2 linked regions of the Danio rerio genome follow. The protein of the gene in region 2 binds, or shares a complex with, the protein of the main gene of each other region. Links are inferred from orthologs where the notes say so. Each region holds a gene or a part of one and is shown on either strand. Other genes may lie near its edges. The genes, in order: nup62l and nup93.

Region 1 (4,154 bases), on a different chromosome or scaffold from region 2:
TTATCTACTCAGCCTTTATAGAGTTTCTTTCTTCGGTTCGAGCACAAAAGGTGATATTTTGAAGAATGCTTTAAGCACTGCATTTTTTTCCAACTATGGAAGTCAATGGGTACCTGCAACCAGCATTTTGCAAATTATCTTCTGTGTTCAACAGATGAAAAACTCAAAGGTTTAAAACCACATGAGGGAGACTAAATGATGACGTTTTAATCTTAGGATGAACCATCCAGAGTCAACATCTACATGATCATTTTTAATTATAAGAATAGTTCTATTCTACAAAGTCAGGCAGCAAAACACAATTCATGATTTTATATCCTGTTAGGCTTCTTACACATTTTTCAAAGTCAAATTTGAGCATTTTCAAGCACACTGCAGATACAATTGTGGTAAATTACATATAAACATGCACATACACATACTGTACATACTTCATACTACAATATACCAGATACTATTTGCTATAGTATTCTGTGGTACTTTAGTATAGTATTTCAAGGACAAATTTTGATGGTATATTTGCCGCAAGCAGAGCAGCACGGTGAAAAGAACGCCTCACAGCAAGAGCAAAACTAATTATTTAAATAGTTCGCTAGAATTACCTACTTAAAAACAAATTATTATGAAAGCACCACAGAAGCACCAAAAAACACTAGATCAAAATTGAAGCATATTCAAGGATTTCCAGTGAAAAACCTGCTATGTATGGGACGATATTTTTAAGGTATACAGCGGTTGGAAAAAAGTCAAGGTTTTAAAACAGCCAAAATTTTCTGCAATACCGTTCCTAAGGTATGTGTACAATTTTTAATTTGTGATTTTTTTAGGACAATAATATCTCCAGCAGAGAAGATGTTTAAATTAAATTTAAACAAACAAAGACAGCAGAAGTCAATTTATTTGGCCTAACATGTTTACTGTTCCAAAATATTTAAAATGTTAGATATACTATGTTCAAAAGGGTAAAAAAGTTTTTGATTTTAACCCAGACATTTACAAAGAATATATTTTAGCGCAGTAATCCCAATACCTTGAAACAGTGATATTTTTATCCAAGGTTATCATACTAATATACATAATTTTATACCGGCCCATGCCTAAACCCTGCTTCATACACATAGATGAATTTGAAATATATTCCTAATTAATATAAAGCTGGAGCAGCAAAAATAATGGATTGAGGTAAAGTTGATTTTATATTCGCACATTCATTCTTTTTGAACAGTGACAACTTATGGCACGCTATCTATATTGTTTACCACGCTACTTTTGAGTATTTCCTCTGAAATAGCATGCAAGCGTGACTTCAAAACAACATTAGCACTATTTAATTGACTGTGATCAATGTTGTACTTTGAAAGCCACTTCTAATATGATTTACCTATTTAGAATTTGTCAAGTATATTAAGGAAAAAGTGCAGCACGGTGGTAGAGTGGGTAGCGCTGTCGCCTCACAGCAAGAAGTTTGCTGGTTCTAGCCTTGGCTGGGCCAGTTGGCATTTCTGTGTGGAGTTTGGATGTGCTCCCCATGTTCGGGTGGGTTTCCTTTAGGTGCTCCGGTTTCACCCACAGTCCAAACACATGCAGTATTGGTGAATTGGGTAAGCTAAAATGTCCTTCCATAGTTGAGGTGTCACATCCATAACGACACCTATCCGTTATAGATGTAACGGGTCAGAAATTGTAGAATATTAACAGATGCATTCTTGCGTATTTCTAAAGTACTGTAAAATACTTCTATAGTGAGCAACTCTTTATTCTTTTGATTAGCATTGTTTTGTTTGGGTTGTGCAGTTTACAGAATTTCTACAAAGAATGTTGTCTACTGTAAACCCGCAGACTTTTTTTTTGTCACATCCATATTGCATGTTTATTTTTCTCATATAAAGTACAAAACATGTTTACAGATCAATATTTTTCTGGTCCCGTAACTCTGTGGTCAGTAATTCTGAAAATATAAACAGAAGTTTTAATATAATGTTAACATATCATTTCTATGTGAATTTATGTTTTGAGCTTTACTGCAAATGTCACATCCATAACGCTGGAATTGCTCATATGTTGGATTAATTGCCGGTTAATTCCGCTGTGGTGACCTCAGATTAATAAAGGGACTAAGCCAAAAAGAAAAATGAATGAATGAAGGAAAAAGTCCGAATGTGCAAGTACAAAACCAACTTTACCCCTTTTAACGAATTAATAATTGTAACGTTATCTCATCATAACGTTACTTAGACATTGTTGTGGATGTGTGAAGTTAACCAACATTAACTCATCATTGTAGATCGTAATGCTCTTATGCGGAATAGGCTTAAAACACGTACCAAACCTTTCATCTAGATACGCACACGGTCAAGATATTCACCATTACAAACAACACGCAAATGTTCTTGGAGCTTTAAAAATTTGATTGCAAAAATGTGTACGTAAGCCACTCAGGGTTTGGGGACAGCGTTATGATGAGCAACTGAGCTCTATTATAAGATTATAGCTAAACTGTTGCAAGCAGCTGAGCAACTTACGTACAATTCTCTAGATATGAACATTTCGTGTGATAGACTCTTTAATATTATTGAACGCCATAGTAAGAGAACGGATATGTTTTTAGCTTCACTTCAGTGATAACAGCTAGCTGACAGTTCCTCACGTTACGCCAACTCAATGCAGATTTCTCCACAATTACATCACAAATGTACTTACTTTAAGATAGGTTGATCACATTACACATCACAAGGTGAAATAAAACACTTCAACAAATAAAATGTAAAATGATAAAGAACGTACAACTACTTCACAGCAGCTCCCGCGCACAGCATCCGTCACATGCGCAGTTTCTTTCAGGACCTTCGCGTCATCTGTCTAGGGTCTACATTCTGCCTGCTCAAAATTACAGACTTATGTGGCAACATCATCACATTAAAATAAAAGGTCGTAATAAGCCACAACATCAAATGATAAAGAAATCGTTATTATTTTATTTAAAAGGAATGTAGTTAGTTAATTTATTTTTGCATTAACTAAAAAGTCTATAAACATAATTGTTTATCAGCAGGTCGTGTGCACGAGTTCGGGGCGGGCACTGGTGAGGACAGTGATGAGGTTGGTGACCTCTCTCTCTCTTTTATTAGGTGCGTTCGACTTCATGCAGCGCTGCGCAGATCGATCGAAATCTGTCTTAAAGCGGTGCATTCTGGTTAGAAATCTTGTCCGGATTGATGCTGCGCCGACGCCACGTGACTGTCACATGTGGCATCAAAGTACCGCGACAGCGCTCCGAGATCAGACGGCAAACTCAGACCATGCAGCTTCTGAAGAGCGACTGCAGGAGCTTTGATGACGACACCGATATTACACGATTGGCCGAGTTCACCACATGACAACAAACACGTGTATTTCGGGTTTATAATTGGACAAATTCCGATTCAAAAGTTTCAAAACAAACAATTCACTTTTCACACCCTCTCTATCCTGTACACATCTTGCTTATTAAAAGACTACAAATATTTTACTGCAGTAATCATCTTTTGTTAAATAATCTGGTTATAAAGGTTAGCTTGTTTGCACAGGTTTATTTTTAAACTTTTTTATACAGACTATTTACTGCATTCATCTCCATGAACGATTTAAATGATATATTTTAGTGTATATTTTAGTGAATAACCTAAATATGAACTCAAATAAGTCTTACAGACTTGAAATAAGAAAATCATCATCATTGATCCTGCCACCCTAAAGCTCTCTTAACAAATTAAAGTAAAGAACTATTTTATTAAATAATTATAAAATGGCTTTATTATTATAATATAAATATATATTTTATTTTCTGTCTAGCAGTTTAAAGGCTGTATACCTGCTCTTTCTGGGAATCTTCTACATCGCTCACTTATTTTACCTTTTGTTCTTTTCAACACAATCTTTTTGGATTAAAATGCTTTTTTGAAAATTCATTCATCATCCAAAATAATGTCATTTATTAAGACCTAATCAAAACACCTTGTTTTGCTTTTTACATGGGAAATTTTTATATCTATAAATGTACATATATGTAAACCCTTTTTTAGCAGATTCAAACAAGAAGTATTAGCCTAAAGATTGATGTTTAACTCCTAGAATTTATGCTTATTGCTTTGTATTTAATAGACCTGTTCGTTTTT
Region 2 (13,060 bases):
TCCAGTGAGGGGTTGCAGCTGGAAGGGCATTCGCTGCAAAAAACATATGCTGGATAATTTATTCCGCTGTGGCGAGACCAGATTAATAAAGGGACTAAGGCGAAAAGAAAATGAATGAATCTTAACTTGTTCTTCAAAAATGATTAAAGGGTGGAGACTGGAATGACATGAGGATGAGTAATTAATAACGGAATTTAGATTTTTGGGTCAACTAATACTTTCAGTTGAAATTTTGAAACTTGAATAGAATGTTGAAACTCATAACACATTTTAATAATTCATAATTGTTAGATTTAGTCATAAATAATAGTCGTAAATAGTCAGTTTAGTCATAATTTTTTTTTTAATGTTTAGAAATACTGGTAACACTTTACAATAAGGTTGTATTAGTTAATGCATTTACTAATGAACAATACACAGTAAAGCATGAATTTGAATGTTACTTATGCACTATACAACGTTGAACTATGATTAATAAATGCTGTAGAAGCATTGTTTATAAGTAGCTCATGTTAATCAATACATAAACTAATGAAACCTTATTGTAAAGTGTGACCGAAATACTTAGTTTCATAATGCTCACCTTTCAGCAATAGCCACTGCCATGTTTTTGAGTCGCTCTTTGTTGGACTGAGGTTCGCTGACTTGAGCGATGACTGGACTCAACAATTTATTCATCAGCTCCAAAACCTTATCAGCATTCTGGAGCAGGAAATAAAAAAAAATGTTTTAGGCACAATTACAAGAGACTGCTAAACCCAAAGGTCCGTCTCAGCTTATCTTACCTTGGCTAACTCGTAGAGTTTGACGGCCTCCTCAAACAATCCCTTGTTCTCGGCCTCAGAGGCTACTTTGGTAATGATGGCCCGCGTGTCTCCGGCAAACTTGTCAATCACACCAGGCTGAATGGATTCAAACAAACACTGCTTAGAGCAAGCAGGACTCTGAATGCACAATGGTGTTTGTCAATAAGCCTTGAGCATGAAAAGCCGGAGTGTGTTGTACAGGCCCTGCGAGACAATAGCACATTCTACACAACCCTGAAAGCCTGAACGAACAAGCTTTTCACAATGGGTTCCAAGAATGAACAGTGGGCACGTTCGCTGTCTGCCAGTCAGGTGATATTACAACAAAAGCCTCCAACATACCTTTCTGCTTCCATCTTTTTCAAGCCTTCCAAGAAGCATATCGAACTGCAGGAAGAGAGTTAAGTATTGACAGGAATTATGTAATGATAACAGCAATTAGTATGCAGAAACCCTTCCTCCAATGAGCTTACAAAGTTTCTTACCTCTCGACTCTCGATGACTAGCTCGCTGACACAGCGCATAAACATGTTTTCTCCTTGACTGTCCTTCTCATTCCTGTGGCCAGTAGGAGAGCAGTGATTGTTAGTTTGTTGCAGTACAGCAATTATCCAGTTTGTGGCATAAAAGATTCAAAGGAACATGTTCGCTTTGTGACATGCATGCAAACCCTGAGATAAAAGACCTTAAGAAGATCAACTGCTTCCTTTTTGTACTAGTGGCTGTGGGGTCTTTTAAAACAATGGGTCGAGTTAGCATCGAATTCACAGTGTGCATGAAGCAGGTTTAATTATTCATGGATCATTCATGGAAGGTTCTGAGTTATTCATGACACATTAATCTCTTCTCGGAGAGGGATTTCCGCACAGTATATTCAGAGAAAAAGACATGACTTACAGTTCAGCCACTGATCAAACAGGAAACAAGTTTATTTCATAATAGCTTTGTATAGGCTTCCTTAATAGCTGTTCAACGTATCTAATCTAACATCAGCTCTTTTAGTATGTTACTCCAAATAACCCAATAGCATTACTTAAAGGCTGACGAAATCCTCTACTAAATTTGATGAGGCTTTTACAGCTTTATGTTTGTTGAACAATAATGTTAGCATCTGTTAGTTTTAATTGTAAGGAACTACTAGCTTTTGAGCTAGTTTCATCTTGCAGGTTTAAAATCTCTATCAGTGCAGCATTACTGATAGTGACGTACAATAGGACTGTGAGTACTTCGATGATGCATCTGTCTCCAATTATTATTCATGAGACTGAGTTTTTTTTTATCCCATAAGAGTTACTGATTCTGAATAATTTATTCAAGCTGTGAGAATGTGCAGCAAGGTGTTCACAATGGGTTGCGATGCCAATTAGAGCTAAAGATCATTTTAGACAGGGTTGGGGCAGGCTCGGGCTTGCATGGTAAATTAATAGTCATGTAATGCATTTCAATTAGTGTGAGAAAGTAATCAAATCGTTTGTTACAGCCTTGCAAAGGTGAAACAAATGATAACAGAGAAGTCAAAAAGAGCAAGTTTTGTGGAGTGGGAATTGATTGGTCATGCGCTCACTGATGGTGCATCCAACAGCACTGATCACCCTTTCACTGCTGCTGCTACAGGCCGGGAGGCATACTGATCTGGCTAATTTTGCAAGTTTTAGGTAGGATTGTTTGTTCATCTTCCACCAGCCAAGAACATTTATTTCATTTTCCATGGCAGCAGTTTCAATGTCCTCTTTTTCCAGGACTGATTAAATAATTTTCCTCCACAAAAACACATAGCATAATCTTAATGAGTGAAGAATTTTCAAATTATAATTAAATATTAATTAAATAAAAAATGCATAATGTAGTTAGAGTACACAGGCTAATGCTGGCATTATTATTTTAACATTCAGCTTCGCCTTAAGGCCAGATTGTGAAGAGCAGTGGTGAAACAAATCCCGCAGAACCTTCATCTTAATTTCGGTATTGCCAAATACCTGTCATTAATTTATTTGTTAGGAAAGAGGACTTATTTTATTTCTTTGTTCCAACTTCTAAGTGGCCTATAGCCTACGTTTGTTATGAATAAATGATGTTAAAACACAAATAAACGACTCATTCTTGAAAAAAAGGTAAAAGAGCTGTGTGCATGTGCACATTTGAATAATGTTAAACTTTTAAAAAGCTGTAAATCAAAATGTACTTGTCAGGCTCGGGCCGAATTCTGTCAGGCTATGGCCTAAATTGTTGGCCTTATTACTGCTCTAATGCCAATAGACATACTAAATTCTACAAATTTGTACTGAATTGTAAACAAATGTGACTATATCAGCATTTCCCATTGTACATTGAGCGCTGCTAAGCAAATTTTTAAGTCATTATGACAGTATGAAAGACAAACGACAGTTGTTTGCTGTGTTCTTTTTCTCCAGCTTTTCCCCATCACCCTCACTTCTCTTCCTTCTGCTTACAACTTTCCAAACCTATGTAAATAGCTTTTTCATTCTGAGATAGACCTAAACTGAAAAACAAAGGTTTTGTGACCCTTAAGTATAGAATGCCCATTACCGGAGAAAGTAGAAGTACTGCAGGGCTTCTCGCGGATCAGTGGACTCAAATTTGCGTGTGTACAACATAAGCAGCCTGATGAAGTTTAGCCGTCGCACCATTGGAGGATCTCCAGCTTCTTGACTCACTTAAAAAAAAAGATCAGAAAAAATATTACAAACAAGATAAATTTTTAAGTTCTCACTTAACGCTCAATAGTCACAACTTACAGAGTTGAGCGCTCTGTCCTGATGATTTGAGCAGGAGTTTGAGTTCGTACAGCACCAGAGCAACGTGAACGGCATGGCTGCGCAGACGCTCCACTCTGAAGAGAAACGCGATGGCCGCCTCAAACTGCGCCGTCAGGAAAAGCACTTGGAAGTACAAGAAGGGCTGGTGGCTGGCTGAAAAATGGGACTCACCTGCAGAAAACAATTCATGCCACACATCTTTATGAGCAAAACCACTTACAGAACACACATAAAGCACACACTGGCAATGGGCACATGCAGCCAGTACGGATTTGTCACATAAGGAATTTAAATGCTTCTTTAAGCGAGTAATAGGTTCCATGTAAATCTTCCTCGGCTGTGAAGTGCTTAAATAGGCTGTTTCATTTCCATTTGCGCAAGTTGAAATAATCCCCTCTCATTTAAATTGCCGTTAAAACTGACGTCTTAAAGCGGCATTGAAAAGACCCGCTGCGACTTTGCATGGAGCGTAATGGCAGCGCAGCTGGGAGTGAAGGAGTCTTATCAGCAAAAGAGCGAGTCTTTAATGTGGTGTACTGCAGGAGTGCCGGCGAGATAAGACTGACTCATCAGGCAGGTGGAGGAAACTAAGCGGATGCCTTTTTAAAACTGGGCGAGGAGAAGTTTAAGCCATGAGAAAACAGCACAATGACATGCACTTTTATCTGGGCTAGGCACACACTGGCAGAGACTGAATGGGAGGTTTTGCATACTGACTTACTTCCTAGTTTTTCAAATGCCCATTTAAACCTCTTCCTTTAGATAACTGGGATGACTTAATGGAATAATTTAAATCGTTTTATATGTAAAACTATGTACAGCATATATATATATATATATATATATATATATATATATATATATATATATATATATATATATATATATATATATATATATATATATACATACACACACGCACACACACACACACACACATACATTTTTACCAGTATTTAAGATCTAAAACATGGAATATATTCAATTCAATTCAATTCAGCTTTATTTGTATAGCGCTTTTACAATGTAGATTGTGTCAAAGCAGCTTCACATAAATGGTCATAGTAACTGGAACAGTGTGGTTCAGTAACTGGAACAGTGTGGTTCAGGTTTTAGTGTTTAAGTTCAGTTCAGTTCAGTTTAGCTCAGTTCAGTGTGATTTAATCATTACTGAGAGTTCAAACACTGAAGAGCCAATTCATCGATGTGTAGCTCTACCAATCCTGAACCATGCAATATATTATATTTACCCTTGCTGAATCAGTAGTTTATAAACTAGATGTAATACAAAACATCTACTATTTATGGCAAATACAGTAAACCAATTTGAATTCTCTTAATTTTTGTTTTGCGAGATGATTAGCTGGGTACAAGCCAAAAAATATTGTTTTTAAGCATCAAAACAATAGGTGTAATAAAGCTTTTAATGTATTTTTCTTCCAGTACATAAGAGTCTCCTGAGAGTCTGTCATTTTTGTGAAATCATAATCAGATATTAATTTATTCATTTTCTTTTTGGTTTAGTCCCCTTATTAATCTACCGTCACCCCAGCGGAATTAACTGCCAACTTATCCAGCATATGTTTTACGAAACGGATGCCCTTCCAGCTGCAACCCATCACTGAGAAACCCATACACTCTCATTCACACACATACACTATGAACAATTTAGCCTACCCAATTCACCTGTACCACTGTGGGGGAAACCGGAGCACTACCTACTGCGCCACTGCGCCACCATATTCAGACATATTAAACATAATTTTCTCAAATACACCTATAAAAATGCCATTCATTTTAACCTTGGTTTATATACCAAAGTCTTGTTTGTCATACTTATGTGCACGTCGAAATAACAACATCCTTTATTTTTCACATAAATATATATGTTACACTAAAAAAAGATTATTATTTTACACATATTTTAACATTTTCACAAAAGTCGATTGAATTATCAAAACAAACACTTTGTTACATTTAATATAATTTCTATGTATAAAACAATCTTTGTACAATTTATGACACAAATACCGAAATATCTAATCTCTGAGCCATAAATATGTACATTAGCAACCAAAAATTTATGTATAATAACATTTTTTTATGAATACATGTCCTGCTTATTTATATAAGTCACTGTGACTCTCACCATAGTCTTCAAGCAGCTGTTTCTGAAGTTGTGCCAAAGTCATTCGGTCCTGAGGGGAACTGCTGCCGTCCTCATCAAAACACACTTGATTCAGCTGGTAGGGACACACAGCACCATTTAAACTACTCAAATCAAGAAGAATCCAAGTATAAATCCCTTTCTTATTAGCATCTCTAAAACACTCTTTTTCATTGATCATCTAGTATTTGCATGTAAAAAACAACTATATTAAACTATGATAAATCAAAATCAGTCATCATTTCTGACCTTGAGCCACAGGTAATCCTCCGTCTTATCAGCCACCTCCCCATGATTGTCGCCGATGTCGCATTTGCCGATGAGACAGTAAACAGCACGCTTATAAGGGTCTGCGCTGTTCCTGAGCACACGCCGGTAATGCAGCCGTAGCTTATTCTCTGTGGCTGGCGACAAACTGAGAAGAATTTCAGAAATTCAGATTTAATTAATTATTCAGCTTCAATGTAATCTTATGCATGAAAGACAAAAAAAGGAGCAACCTAGGTCAAGCACGCAAGAGAAAGAAGCAGTTCCCAAAAATGGAGGAGAAACAGTCCTCTTAGGATGTGATCTAGTTTTTGGGGTATGTGTGTGTGTGTGTGTGGGTGTTCTCACCGTCGGTCAGGGCTGTTCATGTATTCTTGGAACCAGATCTTAAAGTCTCCCAGCTGATGCTGTGCCTTGTTCACCACCTGCATGGCGGCAGACAGATCTCCACAACGCAGGCAGAAATAGATCAGAGCCCACACCGGATGTCCCTCCACCTCGCCGTCCTGTTACACATGTGCACACGCAGCAGGCTTTATCCTCGGGTCACACCACATTCATTTACCCCCTTTTTACTTTCAGGTCTGAAATAAGCAGCTTACTGGCCCATGCAGGGAGACTCCGCTGCTATTATCTAAACTGCTGCAAAGCACACTCGAGAGTATCTGCAGTGATGGCGTTTAGTCTGTATGATGTAGTGTGGTGAGGGCACGTTTTACTGCAGTACCTGCATGCCTGGCAGCGGCGTCGGCAGCTTGATGTTCAGGAAGCTGCATACGAGCTGATAAGTCCCAGGCACTCCACCCAGCTGAGCCTGATGCAGATTCCCAAACACAGTGACCAGGGTGTAATTTTTATAGCTGTAGAAGAGAGAGACAAGCAGTTCGTTTTTCAACTGGATTAAGCAGACACCGGGTTCACAAACTTTCAGACCAGTTCATCTACATTACTTTTAATATAGAAATATACAGAATTATATACAGTTGAAGTCTCCTGGATTATTACCCCTTATATATTTTTCCCCAATTTCTGTATGAAGGAAATCAGATTTTTTCAACACATTTCTAAACAATAGTTTTAATAATTCATTTCTAATGACTGATTTATTTTATCTTTGCCATGATGACAGTAAATAATATTTTACTAGATATTTTGTCAAGACACTAGTATTCAGCTTAAAGTGCAATTTAAATTAAATTAGTTAATTGGGTTAACTGTGCAACATACAGTAATTAGGCAAGTCATTGTATAACAGTGGTTTATTCTTTAGCTACTAATTTTGACTTCAACTGTATATAGATTTTGTTTGTTTGTTTATTTATTGCAAAACCAGCAATGTATGGCTATTTCATGGAAAGATTAATAAACATAAAACCTTATTACATTACAATAACAACTTTATAATTTAATAGAAAAATAAATACTACATTAAAACATTAGATATACTTTTTTATTTCTATATAATGATAAATAACTTCTCCCCAGGTATACAATTCTTAAAACAGTAGTGTTCTCGGTGTACAAATCTTGTTTAGTAGTCTTTAAAATTTCATATTTTAATAACGTTTTATTGTAAGGAAGGCTTAACAGTGGTTATGTTGATATGAAAAGATGTTTGGCTGACTCATTATAAAATCACTCAAATCATAATTCATAAGTAGAAAACTAAGCCAATTAAATAGTTCAGATATGATATATACAGTGCTTAGCCTAAATAAGTACACCCCTCACATATATCTCTTTTAAATTAATATTTTCTATTAGATGCTTTACAATAATACATGTGTGCATATACATTAGATCAGTCAGTACCAAGGGCAAATCTGGAACTATTCTATAAGATAATATAAGAACTATAAGATAATGGTACAAAAATTTGTACAAAGGCAGCGCACTGACACATAGTGTAGCTCCATTGCGTTTTGAGCTTCCGAGTTCCCAATCCCAATAATGCAAAAAATATAAGCATCATAATAAATAACAAAATGTTATGCATCAACCATCTCACCTGTTCTCCAGGAACTGCAGGGCTTGTCTGACGAAGGCCATCTGCATGTCCACAGACACTCGACTCTTCAGAGTGTCTTTTGCTGGCACCAGCAGGACGTCTGTCATCTGCTTCACCATGAGCCACATTTCTGACACGTTCTACAAATGCATGCACAAACAACTTTACACAATCTCTATTAAAGCAATCACTCCCTCATTTTTCTGAACACATTCAGGAACACACACACAAACTGAGTGTTACAAACCTTATCATCCAGACTTTCGGCCACAGAGGCACACAGATCTCCCAGGTTTGGCTGAAGATGGCCATTTACTATCTTTTCATTGAAGACGTAGATCTAAAGGACAGAAGAAAGGTGCAGATTGAGAATGGACGAGCTGAGGCTGATCTGCTATGATCTGGAAGTGAAGTGAAGAATGATGAAAAACAAAACAAACAGGATGAAAATGTTTAGAAGGTCGTCGAAAAAAAGCACAAACACCAAGAAGATGACTCCGCAGGCGATGTGGCGACACATGATTACACAGAAAAAAAGACAAAGGCAATAAAAGAGTTATCGGACCATAAAGAGCCGAACAAAAGAAGTGAGAGTTAGAGACAGCCCTCCCATTTATGGACAGATCCAGAGCCTACCCATCATGCTTCTTTCCAGCCAATCAATCATTTCAATCAATCGAGCTCAGCTCACAAAACACGACACATTTATTTTTCTGTCTAGCTAACTGACAGAGAAAAAGATAAGCTTAACTACATAACAATGCAGACTTAGTAAAAAATATAATCAGGATTTCATGTTTTATCACTAGTGATTATACTTCTGCTTATTTTGAGTCTTTATTCCTTCTCTTTTTAATGTTTAAATAGGAATACCAAGATATATTTTCTAATATAAATTATTGCACTGCTGGCTCATTCTATAATATTGATTTATAACTCAATTTATAAATTATTGCAATATATTTCTATAGTGCTATTTAAAAAATAAGTTAAAAATAATGAATTTAATAAAATGTATTGGGCATAGATTAATTTATTTCCACCCAAAAAATACTCAGCATCCTTGGATTTACTAGATTCATTAGGCATGGGTTTGAGTAAAATTGTTATATTTGTTTTGCTTAAATATTAGGGCTACATAATATTGGAAAAATCTGACATTGCAATATTTTATTTTTCTGCTAGATATATTGTAATAAAATGCATCTACACAATTTCACCAAATGATTGAATAGCACTGGTTGGAAAGAATTCATAGTCGCACTTTATTTTAAGGCTCACTTCCCACAATTGGCCATCCATTAACTATGGCTTTTGCTTCAATAAACTTCTAATTTGTTGCTTATTAACATACATTAGGGTCCCTTAGGTATTGGCTTAGGTTTTGTAAATGTTAAAATTACGCTGCACAGTTTTTGATGTCTAAATAATTTAATACAATTATTCTTTATAAACTTCTAATTGGTATAATGTCTTGTGCCTAAATAACTAAATAACTCTCTCAGGTCTTAAAATCATACAAATGATACAATTTCACTCCATTATGTTTAAACTCTGCAGTAATTCCACAAATCTCATGTTCTGAACTGTGACTCTTCCTCAAATAAAATCCAAACTTAATATTGCATATCTATGCGATGTGACCATTGATATCAATACACACACACACACACACACACACACACACACACACACACACACACACACACACACACACACACACACACAGACAGACAGACAGACAGACAGACAGATAGATAGATAGATAGACAGACAGACAGACAGACAGACAGACAGACAGATAGACGGATAGACAGATAGATAGATGGATAGATGGATGGATAGATGGATAGACGGATAGACGGATGGATGGATGGATGGATAGACAGATAGATATAGATAGATAGATAGATAGATAGATAGATAGATAGATAGATAGATAGATAGATAGATAGATAGATAGATAGATAGATAGATAGATAGATAGATAGATAGATAGACGGATAGACAGATGGATGGATAGACGGATAGATAGATAGATAGATAGATAGATAGATAGATAGATAGATAGATAGATAGATAGATAGATAGATAGATAGATAGATAGATAGATAGATGATAGATAGATGGATAGACAGATAGATAGATAGATAGATAGATAGATAGATAGATAGATAGATAGATAGATAGATAGATAGATAGATAGATAGATAGATAGATAGATAGATAGAGATAAATATAGATATACAGATACACAGATAGATGGATAGACAAATATATAGATAGATAGAGATGATGGGATTCATGCTTCATGTTTTGATTTTATTTAGACTATTTATAAATAACATACATTTTTAACATGAATTTTTTAAAGATTATATATTTCTTCTATAATTTTCATTTCTTTTTTTACACATGGTTCTGCATGTGTGTTTATGCATTTATGCGCATTTATGTTTATGCTATACATGAATGTCTTTCTACAAACCTGTCGGCTATAGGCCACTTCCACACTGTCCAGCGCACTGCGTCCAGGAACTCCGACCTCGCTCACGAAACTGGGCTGTTGGGCACATAGCAACAGTCGTTAAGGCTCAAACAAGCATATCTACACGAGCAGGCTGTATTAATATTCTCCACATGTGTAGGTGTGTATATATGCGAGTCTCTAAAAGCGTGGGTTTGACAAGTGCACAAGCTGCGTTTATCTCGGAGAGTTTATCTCGCAGAGTAATCTAAACGCAGTGACCAATGTAGCGTGAAGCTATTGTGAAGAACATAACTCGCGCATGAGAGCACACTGCTCAGGACTGTGAACACACACAGAGGAAAACACAAAACCCACACATTTTCCTTGTGGATTAGAATAAATTCATTTTTAAAGAAATATAAATAAAGAGTGAGCACATTTGTACGCTGATAACCTACAAAAAACATGCTTATTTTACAATTTACGTGCAAATAAAACAAACTTTATGTTTAAATCTGTTCATTTCTATCCAATTTCAAGTATTTGTGACTGTCATGTTTAATAAATCCTCAAAAACCAAATATATGATCCTCTAAAGATGCAGAATTTTAATTGTACCACTTCTGTTGCATGAGAAAAGAACACACTTGGGTCTTGCTGCAAAACATTTGCTCTGCCTACAGTATACCTGCTTAAATGCGCAGTGAAGAGGTGTTCCGGTCACTTATCACACATTCACACTACAACTGACATACTGGATGAAATCGGTGTGAGGGCCACAATTTTAGCTGCGATGATCAGTTTATGTTTAACCCATTTATAAAAAGCATAAAGCAAAATGGGTTAACACATTTACTTGACCACGTGCACTGTCGGCTTATTAAGCACAATTGGGTTAAGAATGTGCATCTAAACGCGCTCACTAAATCTAACATCCATAAAACATACGGTGCTTTGATTGAAATTATTTCGAAACACACACACATACACACTTCCAAGCAGCAAATTCCATGAACAGCCTGGCTAAAAATTCACTGAGGCGTTGTAGTGACTGTGTATCGGGGAGGGGGTTGACCCAGGCTGGTGCTACAAGGAAGAGTGAGCTCCTGGCATAGGAAGCGAACAGCAGGTCACACATGGAAAATTTAACTGCTGTTTAATAATTAAAGCAGCAGGACAGCAGTCAAAAATCTCCTGGAGCACACAAACTTGCATGCATTTGTGACTAACTCTACTCGTACATGTTCTTCTTGAATGCTTTATAAGACAAAAGAAGGAAAAAAGACAAAAGCATATTCTGAGGTTTCATCTTCTCCAAAAGACTGTCATTGTTTGTCATAGACAGACTATTGTTCCACTTGAGGACATAAAAAGTGAAACATGCGTGTCTGCGTTTTTTGGGGGTATATATTAATCAGAAGAGGAGTGCTTGTCATCTTCAATGTTTGATGTTTTTCTACATCCTTCCCTCTTACTCCTTTCTCCATTCTTTTGACAACGAGGAGGTGAGCAGTGCTGCCAGAAGTCTTTATTATATATTAAAAATCTTTATTTATGAGAAATGCCCTTCAAAAGCAGACAATGTCATTTTATTTTACAGTCACACGACTGGCTGCTTTAATATAATATGATATAATATAATATAATATAATATAATATAATATAATATAATACAATATAATATAATATAATATTATATAATATAATATAATATAATATAGGAAGGACCAGATGGAATCTGCGGACGTTTTTTTGCTATATCTGCTGAGAATTTTGGTAAAAATCTGCGGATTTCTGTGGAATTATTTTGGGAGTATCCAGCGTAGTATCATAACTAAAACCTTAATATATTAAGTAAAAAGTAATAAATTACTGAATAAAAACTGAATAAATTCAGATTTACACATTTACTCAAGTAAATAACCAGAATTAATAATGGGCTAAAAATCTGCAGAAATCTGCGGAATTCTGCGCGCGCAGATTCCTTGTGGGCCTAAATATAGGCGATGCGGTTGCGCAGTGGGTAGTAATGTCGCCTCACACCAAGAAGGTCGCTGGTTGGAGCCTTGGTAGGGTCAGTTGGCATTTCTGTGTGAAGTTTGCATGTTCTCCTCGTGTTGGCGTGGGTTTACCTTGGCTGCTCCGGTTTCCCCCACAAGTTTTAAGACATGCGGTATAGGTGAATTGAGTAAGCTAAATTGGCCGTAGTGTATGTGTGTGTGAATGAGAGTGTATGGGTGATTCCTAGTGATAGGTTGCAGCTGGAAGGGCATCCGCTGTGAAAAACATATGCTGAATAAGTTGGCGGTTCATTCTGCTGCGGCAACCCCAGATTAATACAGGGACTAAGCTGAAAAGAAAATGAATAATGAATGAATAATATAATATAATATAATATAATATAATATAATATAATAAAATATAATATAATATAATATAATATAATATAATATAATATAATATAATATAATATAATATAGGGTTTCTACAGGTTTCATCAAGTCAAATTTAAGACCTTTTTAAGACCGTTATGAATGAAATGTCAGACTTTCACAGGGGAGAATG

The links.
Region 1: nup93 (region 2) and nup62l share a complex: the UniProt entries of both Homo sapiens proteins name them as parts of the p62 complex. The link is inferred for Danio rerio from reciprocal best matches to the Homo sapiens genes NUP93 and NUP62.

Annotation. Positions count from the first base shown.
Region 1 is NC_133189.1:11,189,921-11,194,074, reverse strand, and holds the start of nup62l (nucleoporin 62 like), read right to left. Parts: upstream 2,801-4,154; 5' UTR 2,785-2,800; exon of another isoform or gene 2,701-2,784; intron 1-2,700. UniProt on the Homo sapiens protein: Essential component of the nuclear pore complex. The N-terminal is probably involved in nucleocytoplasmic transport.
Region 2 is NC_133193.1:18,944,746-18,957,805, reverse strand, and holds part of nup93 (nuclear pore complex protein Nup93), read right to left. Parts: intron 10,589-13,060; coding exon 10,514-10,588; intron 8,366-10,513; coding exon 8,273-8,365; intron 8,166-8,272; coding exon 8,026-8,165; intron 6,878-8,025; coding exon 6,745-6,877; intron 6,524-6,744; coding exon 6,366-6,523; intron 6,166-6,365; coding exon 6,000-6,165; intron 5,827-5,999; coding exon 5,733-5,826; intron 3,755-5,732; coding exon 3,563-3,754; intron 3,481-3,562; coding exon 3,354-3,480; intron 1,365-3,353; coding exon 1,292-1,364; intron 1,194-1,291; coding exon 1,149-1,193; intron 903-1,148; coding exon 786-902; intron 703-785; coding exon 584-702; intron 1-583. UniProt on the Homo sapiens protein: Plays a role in the nuclear pore complex (NPC) assembly and/or maintenance. May anchor nucleoporins, but not NUP153 and TPR, to the NPC. During renal development, regulates podocyte migration and proliferation through SMAD4 signaling.